Linked DNA regions of Arabidopsis thaliana. The protein of the gene in region 1 interacts with the protein of each later gene in a biochemical or structural test. Each region holds a gene or a part of one and is shown on either strand. Other genes may lie near its edges.

Evidence for each region. Proteins that work in one complex are often made in the same cells at the same time.
Region 2: the proteins of LTO1 (region 1) and HCF164 form a complex in vitro, tested with the Arabidopsis thaliana proteins (one study listed by BioGRID).

The regions. Positions count from the first base shown.
Region 1 is NC_003075.7:16,942,741-16,946,340, forward strand, and holds the start of LTO1 (NAD(P)H dehydrogenase (quinone)s), read right to left. Parts: upstream 1,938-3,600; 5' UTR 1,883-1,937; coding exon 1,784-1,882; intron 1,708-1,783; coding exon 1,422-1,707; intron 1,142-1,421; coding exon 885-1,141; intron 789-884; coding exon 676-788; intron 526-675; coding exon 378-525; intron 294-377; coding exon 54-293; coding exon of another isoform or gene 1-53. Other genes in the region: SEN1 (Rhodanese/Cell cycle control phosphatase superfamily protein), read left to right, coding at 2,333-2,484, 2,577-2,773, 2,864-2,934, 3,035-3,088, 3,169-3,243. UniProt on the Arabidopsis thaliana protein: Thiol-disulfide oxidoreductase catalyzing disulfide bond formation of chloroplast proteins and involved in redox regulation and photosynthetic electron transport.
Region 2 is NC_003075.7:17,509,273-17,513,052, reverse strand, and holds HCF164 (Thioredoxin superfamily protein), read left to right. Parts: upstream 1-1,688; 5' UTR 1,689-1,822; coding exon 1,823-1,978; intron 1,979-2,050; coding exon 2,051-2,293; intron 2,294-2,367; coding exon 2,368-2,471; intron 2,472-2,934; coding exon 2,935-3,217; 3' UTR 3,218-3,432; downstream 3,433-3,780. Other genes in the region: AT4G37210 (Tetratricopeptide repeat (TPR)-like superfamily protein), read right to left, coding at 1-121, 349-677; AT4G37190 (plasma membrane, autoregulation-binding site, misato segment II, myosin-like, tubulin/FtsZ protein), read right to left, coding at 3,541-3,780. UniProt on the Arabidopsis thaliana protein: Thiol-disulfide oxidoreductase that participates in various redox reactions in the chloroplast. Mediates the reduction of PSI-N in the thylakoid lumen.

The DNA.
Region 1 (3,600 bases):
GTTGATTGGTCTCATTTGCCTGATCAAGGCTGAATCCAGTCATCTCCGCTAGTTCAGCGAGTTCTATTTCTCCGCTTAAGACCTAATTTATAAAAGAGGTGAAATAGGTACTGACATGTGATGAAATGTACAAGGGGTTCAGAGGATTTACTCACCTTATCATTTATTATCCATGTTGGGAATCCTTCGATCGCAGCATCTGCACATGCCTTGAGTATCTTAGTTCCTTTCTTATATCCATCCGGAAAACATTCCACGTAGTTCAGTTCTTTTGCCGCTTCTCTTCCAAACATCTGTAGATGGATGGAACTATAATGAACATATAATAAAAGCATAAAACTGATTCTTGGCAAACAGGTGATGAATGAACTAACTACCTCTTTTTGCTCTAAGCAGTGAGAACACCAGAATGCCCCATACATTTTAGCTCCAATGGAGTTTAGATGTTTTGCTAAAGCAATAGCATAAGGGCTCGATGATGAACTGATCTCTGTTCTAAAATATGGCAGTTCAATGTCACCAGAGCTGGAAGGAGTGAAACAAAAAACGATCGGGATTAAAAGAGACCACCTGATAAGACTCATACATCTTTCGGAAGCTATTTGTTCACTACTCGTTACAAATGACTAAAATTTCTATCGGGACTCCCCAAAGAAAACTATGAACTTTGATTACCGTGAAGGGATTGGTTGAGCAGTACTGTAAGAAGCAGTCAAGGAGGCAACTACTATGATTGCTAAGCATATCTGCAATCCTACAACTTGCTGTATTTCTTGCAACTTCACATCCTACCACATGCATGGAGCACATTATCATAATCCGAAGTTTAGAAGTTATCTTGAGTCAACATCAGGAAAAAAAAAGAAATGGAAATAAAGGGATACCTTTACAGAGAGGAAAAATAGACTAAATGATAAGAAAGCAGACACCAGACAATACAGGCATGATGATCCTGAGAGTTTTGTGCTAAGGATATACAGGAAATATGCACTAGCAGATGCCATTGCAGTCGTGATCCCAAATAACGCGAAACGCCCATTGCTCTTACTGATTCCAAAAGGTAGATTCCCTTCCCCAAGCTCTGCACTTAGAGCGGTTACTACGCCATACATAACAAATCCAATCACTGGAAGAGGAACACCTGGCAAAATGTAAAAAAGGATTTTCATTGAGTTCAACTTACCTGCAATGCAATGTTGGACAAACAACGAAGACAAAGCACTACATAGAGTGGAGTGAAGCATGCTATTTAACTCTAACAATTCTATGCATACTAAGTACCAAAGCTCCTAAATGATATAGCTTCAAGCAAAGATTCACAGAGACTATCACATGCGAGTATTTAATCATGCCTACTATAAAAGAGAGGACAATTAGCTACATAAATCAAACGCTATAATCAATAAAGCGATGGATAATACCGAAAACGACGGCATAATCGCTGTTGAGGACATCACCGCAAGTGCCACCACCAATAGGGCAAAACGCATCGGAGCCAGTGACCTTGAGGTAAGTCAAATACGCAGTGTCTAACATCCCAATACCGCCGATTCCGGTGTACCAGTTGTATGTCGAACTGTTACTAGTAGATACTTCACTTGTAGACGATGAGGAGGAGGAAGACAGCGACGGTGCCGAATCCTCACCGTTTTCCGGCTCAGATGAAGAACATTTAATCGGAATCGCAGGAAATCTCCGATCAGAGACCTAATTCAGAACATCTGACTTCAAATGACCGATCACACACTACTGTCACTGAAGAAAACACATGACAAGAATTTACCTCGAATCGTCTAGGATAAGAAGTTACCGACGGAGGAGAAACCTCACGGAAGCCGAAATGAAACTGACAAGACGACACAGAAACAAACCTCGCCATCATCGTCGTCGAAGAATCGCTATTCCACCATTGTTAACTTCATCATCTTCTCTCCTCCGCTCCACTATCTCAGCCACTTGTTTCAATATTGGGCCTAAACGAGGCCCAAATACGATAATTTGGATCCATAATTAGTTTATCACAATTGGGCCTTACGGTCTTCTTATCCGTCCGAGTCAGCAAGTTATCCTCTTCAACACGACTCACGAGGCACCGAGTTGGACTTATCATGATTCATTATCTACGCATTGTTTACATTTTGGAATCGACTTTGGTACATAATTGAATTTATCCATAGAAATGATAGAGACTCGAAGATCGGACATAAAACTTGCTGACGTGACACCCATACCTTTGTGTCTGTATGTATTATATAAACGCTATAGAACTAAGAGAAGAAGTATCTAAGTAGCATCAAAGCATTCTAAAAGAAGTTTCAAAGAAGAAGTGAAAATGGAAACCACTGCTTTTAACACAACATCACGAATTGGAAACTGGTCATCGGCTATTTCTCCACCTCTACAAACATGTGGATCTTTCAAGTGCCAATTACCAACACGAAGAGGTGTTATTGTAGCTGATCTTCGAAACTCAAACTTCCGATGGTAAGCTAGCAATCAACGACGAGAATCGCCTTCTCTATCTGATTTTAGATTATGAATAAATATTAAATCTGAGTATTAACTTCTTGCTCAAGGAGGAAAGCAACGACAACAAGCAGAGGAAATGTTGCAGCAGAGGCAGTTAAAATTCCTACGTCAGTACCAGTAAGAGTGGCGCGTGAGCTAGCTCAAGCAGGATACCGCTATCTCGACGTGAGGACACCAGACGAATTCAGCATCGGACATCCGACTAGAGCCATCAACGTACCTTACATGTACAGAGTCGGATCAGGTTTTCATCACCGACCTTAAGGTTCCTCTTATGAGAAAGAGTGAAAATGAAAAACAACTTAAAACTAACACCAAGCCAAAACCGTTGCAGGAATGGTTAAGAACCCGAGTTTTCTAAGACAGGTCTCGTCCCACTTCAGGAAACACGATGAAATCATAATCGTAAGTTTCAGTTTTGACATTCAGAGACTAAATAAACCCCTATGAAGACAATCCCTTGTTTCACAAAATCTCTGATGCACGTAATAAACTACTTCTGCAGGGTTGTGAGAGCGGTCAAATGTCATTTATGGCCTCAACTGATCTTCTCACTGCTGTATGTGTGTAATATCACTTCAATTTATATAGCCGTTATCCGGTTTAGGACAAGCGGGTTTAATGTCGCCACATGTACAGGGCTTCACGGCGATCACAGACATTGCTGGAGGATACGTCGCTTGGACAGAGAATGAGCTGCCGGTAGAAGAGTGAAAACAATCATAGCCATATCACCTCCTGTAATTATCAATAAATTCTGTAGATGTTCTCAACGCAAGTATCAATCATCATTATTATTCTCTAAAACATAGTTTAACTGTCAAATCTATATTGGGTGAAAGCTTTACCGAACTTCGAACACCACAAAGTTTACGGACCAATTAAGGACGGGGATGCATGCCTACACACGTTTAGTTTTCGCCGTTTTAAAATTTTAATACTTAAACTAATTTTTAAATGATAATAGTGAAATTAACATTATTTTAGTTAAAAATTATTAATTACTTTCTTAAAATTTAAGTTTTAAATTGGTTTTAAATTATTATTCTTTAAGTTTAAGTGTTAAATTTA
Region 2 (3,780 bases), 570 kb from region 1:
TTCTTTCTTAGGCATGTTCCCAAGTGGATCAGCTTCAGCTTGAGCCTTTGCCAGGAGAGCTAATCCATATCGATAGTATGCGTTTATACACTCAGCATCAAGTTCACCATAATGTGCAACCCTAACCATACCATTAAAACAAGCAATGTTTTCATTAGATCCTTTGATAAAAGGACCAGATACTAAAGAATTCAGTCGAGAGAACACACAATTGAAACTCAACTAAAAATTCAGAACCATGATTAGATCATTCGAGCATAAACTAGATTCAGAAACATCTGAAACCCTAAACCCTTGATTGAGAGGTTCTCGACTACAAATTCTCAAATGAATCTCCCAAAAAGATACCTGATTTCGAGAGCACGGCTGAAGCAATCGACGGCTTCAGCGAAATCGTTCTCTTTCAAAAACACAGAGCCTTTCTCCGTCAATTCCTCAGCGAACTCAAGCGTCTTCTCACGCTCCTCATCACAAACCTCAGTAGCAGCACTGTCAGCGGCGTTGTTGTTATTAGCGTCGTTGTTACAAGTCGATTCAGTGCCTCCCTGAACAACCGATTCGACGGTGGCTTCGATTGAGGCTAGGTTAGGTTCTAGGGTTTGCGCAATCTCCGTCGCCGGCTCGGTTAGGGTTTGTATCACCGAAGCTTCCGACGCAGAAGCTGATTCTTCAACCATCGCGGATTGAGATTTTTTCTGGGTGAATTTGAATTTCGAAGAACAAAAACGTCAAATTTGTTGAGAAGAGTGGAATCGTATTAAAACCCTCTCTTCGCTTTTTTTGGCGGACTTGAAAATGAAAACCAAAATTAAAGAATTAGGGGAAAAAATATTTTTATGTTTTAATTAAAATATTCACGGTAAACACTAAAATATACGAATAAAAAATGCGTATGTTATCCCACTAACGGTTAGTCTAGCTAAACTGCTCCGCTTTTGTTCAAGCTATTTGACTCATGACGCACATAGGCCATAGGAAAATTGTTACGCTGTAAAAAAATATATGACCGTTGTAACGGAAAAGGGTAATTTTGTCTTACCGAAGTTGTCTTACCGAAAAGGGAAAATTGTTAGCTAAAAGTTTTTCTATTATATAAAATATTTTTATTACAAAAATGTTTTTAAACTTAAATGTTAAATTTAAATACTGGAACGGTTAGATTTAACATCCCGTCTTTTAGGTATGTAACTCGTGCGTTATCATAAGTTCAACATGTTTTCTCATATTTAAATTTAATTTTAAGATTTTTTCAAAAATAATCTGTTTTGATATTTTAAAGCTAAAAGTTTATTAACAAAATGTTTTCAAACTTAAATGTTGAAATTTAAATACTTGAAAGCGTTTAGCATCCTGTTCTTTTAGTCTGTAACTCCTGCGTATTATAAGTTCAACATATTTTCACATATTTAAATTTAGTTTTAAGGCTTTTTTAAGAATAATATTGTAAGTAATCCGTTGATTTTTTTTTTTCGTCAAGTAATCCGTTGATTAAACGCAAATTTTAATTATATATATTCTTTTTATTCAAAACTTAAATGTTAAATTTCAAAGATGTACAAACTAAACTTGATATTCTGTCCTTAGAAAAAATTACCACTTAGCTTTATAAATATTAAAGTTTATCAAGGTAAAAAAAAACACTTTAAGTGTATGTGGAATATAAAGAGTGACTCATTTCATATTATTTTGTAACAAAGTTTAAATCTTTGTAACAAAAAGCGTGTGGCTCTAATAGCTTGGTTAGACGAAGAAGCTACTACTCCTTCGATAATAACGATCTGATGAGTAGCAGTTTTGTCATCTCTCTCACTCTCTCCCGACGATGGCTCGCTTAGTATTTTCTTTAAACCTTCCATCTAGTCATGGATTCAATCTCAGTCCTCGAAATCTTCAATCTTTCTTCGTTACCCAAACAGGAGCTCCACGATTTCGCGCTGTTCGTTGCAAACCAAACCCAGAATCTTCCGAAACCAAACAGGTGAAAATTTCGATTCTTTTTGAAATGGGTCGAAGGCAAATTAGCTAAAGTTTTAGCCTTTACCTGATTCAGGAGAAATTGGTAATAGATAATGGTGAAACTTCATCTGCATCGAAGGAAGTGGAATCATCATCATCTGTTGCTGACTCTTCTTCTTCTTCTTCTTCGGGATTCCCTGAATCTCCCAATAAGGATATCAATAGAAGAGTTGCGGCTGTTACTGTAATCGCGGCTTTGTCGTTATTTGTATCGACAAGGCTCGATTTTGGGATTTCTTTGAAGGATTTAACCGCTTCTGCGTTGCCTTACGAGGAGGTTTGTTTTTGGATTCTTCATCTGTGTTTCTATTCTCATAGAATGCTTAATGAGTTTTGTGAATGGATATTTAGGCGTTATCGAATGGGAAGCCGACTGTTGTTGAGTTCTATGCAGATTGGTGTGAAGTTTGTCGAGAACTAGCTCCTGATGTTTATAAAATCGAGCAGCAATACAAGTAATGAATCGTCTTTTATGTGATTTTTGATCAAAATCAATCTCCTTTCAAAATGAAGCCTTTATATATAGATGAAAGACAAGCTAGAGCTTTCTAGTTGCAGAACGGATTAGGGAACTTGTCTGGAGATTAAGATGAGCATTGCTAGAGCTTCGAAAAACATGGATTAAGGAATCTTGTCTTGGAATGGATTTAGCTAATGAACTAGCTAGAGCTTTAAAGATTCTAGTTGCAGAAGAGTTCTTATTTTGTGTTGGTTTAATGGATTAGGGAACTATCTTTAGGATTGGATTGTTGGCTATGTAGATAGACGCTAATGAAAAAGGTAGAGCTTTGAGATTTTAGTTGCAGAGGCAAACCATTAATCTCATGTTAGTTTAATGGAACATGGAGCTTTTTAGACACTAATTTGACGTTTTGTAGGCTAAAGTTGATGTTTACTTGTGGTGTTGTGATTTCGCAGGGACAAAGTTAACTTTGTGATGCTAAATGTGGACAACACGAAATGGGAGCAAGAGTTGGATGAGTTTGGTGTTGAGGGTATTCCTCATTTCGCCTTCCTCGATAGAGAAGGGAACGAAGAAGGTAATGTGGTCGGGAGGCTCCCAAGACAGTATTTAGTTGAAAATGTGAATGCGCTTGCAGCCGGGAAACAATCAATTCCTTATGCCCGAGCCGTGGGACAGTACTCAAGCTCAGAGTCTCGTAAGGTGCATCAGGTTACTGATCCCTTAAGCCATGGATAAAGAGAGTGGCATCACTATCATGCTTCTGGCAGATGATAGAAGTTGTTTCTAACTCTATAGTGCACAAAAAAAGTAGACAGGAAAGGAAAGTCGGAAAGTAGCAATGTTTCAAATTGATCAAAAGAATCCCATTGGAACTATAAATGTTGATATCGGTTTGTTCTTGTTTGACAATGCTTCTCTCCTATGCCTCCAATATCAACTCTCTCAAGCGACTTACACAAAGAAGATAAGTCAATCAACAACGGGTTTGACCATAAAGTTTCAAACCAAACCAGAAAAAATCTTTAAAGATGATACAACATATTCGTTTTAAGACATAACTAATCTGAATCCGAAGATTCGAAAAACTGAGGATTCAGCTCAGATACCATTTTTGACAGATTCTCCCTCATTTCCTGCAATTCTTCTCTCCCAAATCCCCAGGCCCTAACCACATCTGATCCCATGGCTCCCCACTGGATCCCAAGTTTCTCTAAATTCCCCATTCTAGTTTCCAAAAATGGCAAAATTGCGCTTGAAGATCTCCATCTTGTTGCTACTGGTATGGAGTGAACATCTAG